Linked DNA regions of Arabidopsis thaliana. The protein of the gene in region 1 interacts with the protein of each later gene in a pairwise test. Each region holds a gene or a part of one and is shown in the gene's direction. Other genes may lie near its edges. The genes, in order: MYB31 and AT3G56520.

Region 1 (4,575 bases):
AATGCAGTTCTAAGAATGTCATTTGAAAAGTAAACGTGGATCAGATTTTTTTCTATGAACAAAAGAACGTGGACGTTATCATGCCAATCTTTAGACAAACACCTAACAAAAATAAATCAGATTAAAGTGAACAATACGTGAATTAGATGCGATAGGGCCGGGTTTCTTGTATAGAGCTATTTTAAAATAATAAACAATTTAAATTAGCTATTTGTTTAACAAAACAAAAACAAAAAGCTAGCTATTTCATCATTGTTATAAAGTTTTGATAGTATACTAATCGAAATTGCTCTTTACCCCCAAAAGAAAAAGGAAAAAGAAAAATACTAATCGTAATTGTTATGTTATCAATATATGTAACACCGTCATCTTTGTTACGACAAGGATACAGCTGTTCTTTGAAGCTATTAATAACACTATAGGCCTATCAGGCATGGCCGCCAATTAAAATAAAGAAGACGTAAAAGCTGTATTTATATTCGGCTTAATTAATAGGAGTATTTCTTAGGTCTCATATCACATCGTATTTCACTTTTACTTGTTTAATTTATATAACTGGATTATGGAAAAATAAGGTTCGATGACAAAAAAAAAAGGTTCGATGAATACATACAGGCCGGTTAGAAAACTAACGATTGACAAATGATGATATATTGTTACGGTTGATTAAAGATTAAAAATATGCAAGACATAAAATAGTGGTAAAATTACTAATTTTAATTGATAAATAATAGCAGTGAAAATAATTTCTAGCCTAAAACTAAATATTTAAATAATTTGGAAGTCGTCAATTTTTAATTGATAAATAATAGTATTTCGTACATAACCGTTTCCTTTTCAATTCAAAATGATAATGTGGTACAAAGCGTGAGGAGAATCGTTTCTTCGTTGTAACAGATTGTGGGCAATACCGTTTTTTTTTTTTTGCTAAGACAGTAAATATCATTAAATGAAAGTTGTGGTGTTAAAAAAAAAAAAAAAAAAAGTTGTGGTGTTACAAAATGTAAGACCTAAAGAGATGAACCTTGCCAGGAAATACCGTTCTTTTGCTCTGATTTTTGTACCTCAATCTTTGTATTTCTATAAAAGATTGATCTGATCTTCGTGAGAGACTAGTGATGAAACTTGAGAGAAACGTTTGACTTAATTATAATCCTCTTCTTCTTTTTTTCTTTTTGGATAAAAACTTGTAATCTTTATGTATTATGGTAGTTGGATGGAATCTGCATGAGGGAAAACCTTTGCCATGATGTCTGGATTTTGCACCGAACTTAAACTATGGTGCATTCTTCTTCTTTGCTCTTTCGATTTGTTTTATTTTTGGTCAGTGTTAAAATCGAAAATCGAATAAATTTACCAACTTAGCGAATCTTTAGATCCAATTTTCAACACTACTAACGCATATAAAATTTAAAGAGGAGAAGAGAAGACAAGGAAACTTTTTGGAGAATAGACTGATTGTGATTTCTCAACACTAAGCATATAAAATCTCACCTATATAATCGGTAAAATACTAAAGACTCGTAATTGCAGTGCCAACCCTTTGATTAAGTATAGCCACGTAAGTGAAGAGAAGGGCTGACTTTTTGAACAAGCAACGGAAAATGAGTTAATGCTCTTCGCTGTCTCTATTGACTCGATTCCCTTCAAAGGCTTTTATTTAGGCTCAGCAGCCACGTAGAAGATTTTTTTTTTTTTCTGTCAATATTTACGTGTTGCGGTTAACTTCGTAGGCAATTAAAACCGGTTTTAGGGGTCACAATTTAAAAAGAAATTAAGGTTTTCATATGTTAATATATAAAGACAAAAAATAAATTAAATTCTTCAAAATAAAGATAAAATTGACATTCATGCACTAGTGCTCGTTTTGGTTTAAATATATGTACGTCTTTATTTCAATGCATATAGATCCAAAGAACAACAACCCATAAGACTTGGACATTTGTGTTTCTCCTCAACATTCAAAGTCTTTAGTGAAACCTCTCTTGTAAGAAGCCAAAAAAATAAAGAGAAAGATTCAAAGAAGGAAAGAAATTGAGGATGACTATTTCAAGTCCAAAGAGAGATTTTGAGTAGACCCTCTTCACAAAAATCCAATCTTAGAGTCTTACTAGTTACTATCTAGCTTACATACACAGAGACACTATACCAAAAATCCAATCTTATTAGAGTACTTACTATATAGCTTACACATACACACACACGAAGTACTATTTCAACGATCAAGAGCGTGTGCGTGAGGATATGGGTAGACCACCTTGTTGCGAGAAGATTGAGGTGAAGAAAGGACCATGGACTCCCGAAGAAGACATAATCTTGGTCTCTTATATCCAACAACACGGCCCTGGAAATTGGAGATCTGTCCCTGCAAACACCGGTCTTTATATATCTTCATTCACTCTCCTTCTTTCTTCTTCTTATATATCTTTCTTATAAGATTTTTCCACATATATAAATATTTATATATGTTTCAGGTTTGCTAAGGTGTAGCAAGAGTTGCAGACTTAGATGGACTAATTACCTTCGTCCCGGGATCAAACGAGGAAATTTCACTCAACCGGAAGAGAAGATGATCATCCACCTTCAAGCTCTTTTGGGAAATAGGTATGGAATTACTCCTTTAATTCTCCCTGTTTTATATTAAATTGATTCACGTTGATCTCCAATATCTAAGTTTGTCCATCTTCCGTAATCTCCTAATTAACAATATAAATTATATAGAGTATTAGCATTTCATTTTATTAGTGTTTTTTTTGTTATTATTTATTTGATTGGATGTCCACTTTGAAAATAAGATGGGCAGCTATAGCATCATATCTACCTCAGAGGACCGACAATGATATCAAGAACTACTGGAACACTCATCTTAAAAAGAAACTAGTGATGATGAAGTTTCAAAATGGTATCATCAACGAAAACAAAACCAATCTGGCAACAGATATTTCGTCTTGTAATAATAACAACAATGGATGTAATCACAACAAAAGGACCACCAACAAAGGCCAATGGGAGAAAAAACTTCAAACAGACATCAACATGGCCAAACAAGCCTTATTCCAAGCCTTGTCACTTGACCAACCATCTTCATTGATCCCTCCCGATCCTGACTCACCAAAACCTCATCATCATTCTACCACCACTTATGCCTCAAGCACAGATAACATCTCTAAATTACTCCAGAACTGGACAAGCTCATCATCGTCAAAGCCTAACACTTCATCAGTCTCCAACAACCGGAGCTCAAGCCCCGGTGAAGGAGGACTTTTTGATCATCACTCTTTGTTCTCATCGAATTCAGAATCTGGATCAGTTGATGAGAAGCTGAATTTGATGTCCGAGACAAGCATGTTCAAAGGTGAGAGCAAGCCAGACATAGACATGGAAGCTACACCTACTACTACTACTACTGATGATCAAGGCTCGTTGTCATTGATCGAGAAATGGTTGTTTGATGATCAAGGCTTGGTTCAGTGTGATGATAGTCAAGAAGATCTCATCGACGTGTCTTTAGAGGAGTTAAAATAATGATAACAACAGTCAAGATTTGTTCTATAAGAAAATAAAACGTATAGAACAACGATAAAGCTAGCTAGGTTTATTAATTTTTCTTTCTTTTGTCTTTTCTCTATGATCTTTAGTTACATTTTATTTTACTGTGTGGCTTGCTTGTGGTCAAGTCGATGAAGATCAAACTGTGATATACTATTTATATGTAAAGTACTATAAAGTTAAGAGTAGTTGAATAAACTAAAGTTTTTCGGTTGGGTCAAAAACAAAGAGGACAAAAACAACTAATTTTTTGTGTTTTGTTGAATTTATATCTTTCAGAATTAAATTTGTAACGTAGCAAATTTTATTAATGATGACATGGCGATATCACTGGTCAAATTCATCCGATGATTAATTATTTTACATGAACTGTCGAAGATTTTTTTTTTCTGTCATTGACAAATATATATGATATATGGATTTATTATATTTAGTTTCTATTAGCACTGCCATTTAGTCTTGTGAATACTCGATTGCAATGTTTTTTTTCTACTCGCTAGATTTTACGATATCAATAGCTAAACAAATATGTCAAGTCAGACTTACGATCTTGATTATTATTTTCAAGTGTGAACGGTGTTATTTAGCGGAAAGAATGCTGTTAATTCAGTGTTCGATCGTTAAATCTTTAAAGACTACGAGCATTAATGACGATTAGGTTGGGGGAAATCATTAAAAGTCTACGACTATAGTATGATTTTCTTGTAATTGGTTTTTTGAAATCATGTAACCTACAAAATTGGCTAATCATCATTAAATATAAGCAGCCACCACTCGTTATATAACAGTGAAAAGAAATCATAGTAATAGAATAGGACTATACTTTTGGCATTTCTTGAATAGGAGTTAGTGATAACAAACAACAAAAGAATATGACTTAATAGTATAACCTTTTTTTTTTAAGTATAACTTAATTGTCTTTAGTTATCTAGTATACTTGTATAACTAACCTTGTCAATATCACAGTTTAAATCAGTTATCGTACTTTTGTTCTAATATAAAAAAGGGATGTTGATTGGCCAAATG
Region 2 (3,230 bases), on another chromosome or scaffold:
TCGACAATGGAGGATATTGGAGCGCAACTGTAGCTGCCCAAAAGATCAACGCTGGAAATGGCATAGTCGGCTACAAGACTTCACTAGAGTACTATGTTGGGAAACAATCAAATAGTGTCAAAGGGGATTGGTTAATGCAAGAGTACTGGTTTGAGTCTTCTGATGATAACAACAACGAGAAGGTGAGGGTAAGTGTCTTTACTTGGATTCCAAGTTATTAGGATTCGTGACTTTTGGATTTATTGTGTTTTGTTTTGGTTGGTGTGTATAGGTGGATCATGCTTTGTGCAAGATTTATCTGACTCCAGCGGCAGCAAAGAAGAAGAAAGCTGAGGAAGCAGAGAATGAGAAGCTGAAGAAAGAAGAAGACGTTGAGCAGCTGGATTTGAATCAACCAGACCAATTGCAGCTGCAACAGCCTCATGATATTGTGTATCAACCGCAGTATTGTTTACTTCCAGAACATCATCAGCCGCAGCCTTTTCCTGATAACTTTTCTGAGTTGATCAGCTTTCAACAGCAACCAGTGATGATCCCAGACGATTTTGAAGATTTCTTGGCTGAATTCACTAAACCACATTCACTGGATGGAGATGAAGAATTCAACAATTATGGTTTGTTTGAAGGCTTCTTTGACACAGAAGGAATGATAAAACATTAAACTAACTGATCTCAATCTGCTCATACTTTGTCATTTTGGTTTTTGTTTTCAAACACCAAAAACAAAAAGAAAACTAACTGATCTAGCTTTTGTGCCTTTATGAGTTTTGTTATCAGAAAGAAAACAGAGAGAAGATTTCATTAGTTTTTTTGCTAAAATTTCATTAGTTGCTATCGGCATTGTTTTTCAAAACCAGAGATAATTCTCCCTGTCTTTATTGCTTTTGATGCCTTGATCATATAAAACATTTATACACAATTTGTCCAACATTTTCTTACCGTTTTAAACTAACACATACAAATATAAAACACCGGTGTCTTCTTCTTCTTCATTTCCTCCTCTAAACATTTGTTTAGTTTATAAGCACGCAACAGTGCCACCCCCAAAATTTCTAATTTTTAATATTTTAATGGACTGCCCTCTTTAAGAAATTAATTCTGCCCCCATTAAATGAATCACTTCTCAAAACAGAAAGTTATTTGCAATTTATATTTCCTTACTACAATACAATCAATATCTTTTATTCAATATAATTTGTTCCTTTTCCTTTTCTTAATTGATTTTTGAAGATAGAAAATCAATCTTTATTTATTTGACTAACTACTTTTTCAATTTGTTGAAGTACTAAATAGTTATTAGTTATTACTGATCTTTTATTCTTAATGTAATCAAGTCTTTTTATGGGGGAAAAAGTATTAAAAATTTTCATTTCATAACTATCTTTTATTTTCATATAAAATATTGTTTTCAAAGTTAGTAACTCATAAGATTGTGACATGTGTCAAATCTATTGATCTTAGATTTTGACATTTGTAAAAAGAAAATTTCCTTCTATTAATTTTAAAACTATAAAAAATAATTGTGTGAAATTACAAATTAAAAATTATAAATAAGATAACTAAAAAAGCTATTTAAAAAAGAAATTATAAATAAGATAAATAAAACAAAACTTTATGTATCTTATTAAAAAAATAAAATTAAAAAAACGTTTACTTACTCTAATTTTAAGCTACTAATTATTAAACAAAAAGGACTACTTTTTATTAATGGGATCTATAAATAGGTAGCTCACCATAGCAACTTTTATTCATCCTCGATCAATAAACAAGCTTTTAGAATTCTAGTTTCAGTTTGCTTCAATCACAATTTCACCTTCTTCTTTTCTTTTTTTTGCTAAGAATGGAGCCAACACACAGAGCTTTGCCCGTAGGATTCAGGTTTCGTTCTACAAACTGTGAGATTTCAAACTATTTTTTGAAGAAAAAAGCTTTAGGACAACCCATGAAAGCTCGTACGATACCTGAAGAGTGTCATGATATCTTCTCAAGACATCCGCATGATCTGCCTGGTGAGAATTCGTGGATCTAAACTTTTATAAAGACAATGTCCATCTTTAATCATCCTGTGAAAGAGCCAACTGAATTTTCTTTGTTTCCTTCTTTCAGGTTATCCAAGTGAAGAACATTGGTACTATTTTTGCAGAAAACGTGACAACCAAGTTACTAGTAACTCTCATAATCTCTGGACACCAATCGGAGAAGAAACCAATGTGCTAGATCCAAAGAATAATGATGCATTAGTTGGTATTAAGCGTCGGTTTACTCTTATTGCGCAAGAAGAAGAAGAATCTGATAATATTTGTTTATCTGATGATGAAGAAGCTTTAAAGTATAATTGGTTCATGGATGAAATTAGCCTCCCACAAACAGTAGCGAATACTGATTGGGTTTTATGCCATATTTTTGGCAAGAAGACTAAACCCGAAACTACTGATTTGTCCACAATCGATTCCGAATCCGAATAGACTGCAAAGGTTTTTGATCCTATATGACCTCCAGTTCCTTCTCTGCACCTTAGCTTCTCTTCTTTATATATATATATATATATATATATATATATATATATACATGTTGGTTGGATTGTAAAGAGTTTTGACTAAAAGATCTAAAACATTCTCACTTTTTCACTAATAAGTAACATCTCCAAACTTTTAATACGAGAGTTGGGCCAGTTGCATAGAATTAGCCTCTCTAACACTAATCAAAACATTACAATATCGTTTTACAAAAACATTTCAGCAACAAAGTTCAGAATTCAGGTTCTGTAGACTACTCATAAGTCGATAACCCGAATGTGATTTGACCTGATTAACCGAAATAACGATAACCGGATACCAAGAATACCGGTTTTGTACATTATCGTTACAAGAACCGGATTTATTTAACCCTAAACAAGCGAACGAAGTTTTACACACCACCGTCTTCTTCTTCTTCCGAACGGAGAGTACTAGTTGTTCGCCGACGGCACTAGCTTCTTTTTCTTTCTCACTTTCGGTAAAGTTTCCTGTTTTCCTTCAGAAACGAAGACAAAAAAGTAGAGATTTTTATGAAGATTCATTTTTTTTTTCATTAAATTTAGTGCGCTTTCATCTGCAAAACGTCGATTAAAGGGAGGTCCAGGAATTGAAATTTGTTGATTCGTGTGTCTAGGGTTTAAGGGTCCCTTTCATCTGCAAGTTACGAATTGCAAGTCCACACGTTTATGCAATTGTTGGTGTTAGTCCTATAAT

What was found.
Region 2: the proteins of MYB31 (region 1) and AT3G56520 interact in a two-hybrid assay, tested with the Arabidopsis thaliana proteins (one large-scale study listed by BioGRID).

Annotation. Positions count from the first base shown.
Region 1 is NC_003070.9:28,039,249-28,043,823, forward strand, and holds MYB31 (myb domain protein 31), read left to right. Parts: upstream 1-1,897; 5' UTR 1,898-2,244; coding exon 2,245-2,377; exon of another isoform or gene 2,378-2,474; coding exon 2,475-2,604; exon of another isoform or gene 2,605-2,775; coding exon of another isoform or gene 2,776-2,795; coding exon 2,796-3,525; 3' UTR 3,526-3,773; downstream 3,774-4,575.
Region 2 is NC_003074.8:20,946,342-20,949,571, reverse strand, and holds AT3G56520 (NAC (No Apical Meristem) domain transcriptional regulator superfamily protein), read left to right. Parts: upstream 1-1,840; coding exon 1,841-2,009; intron 2,010-2,106; coding exon 2,107-2,465; downstream 2,466-3,230. Other genes in the region: NAC064 (NAC domain containing protein 64), read left to right, coding at 1-182, 272-661.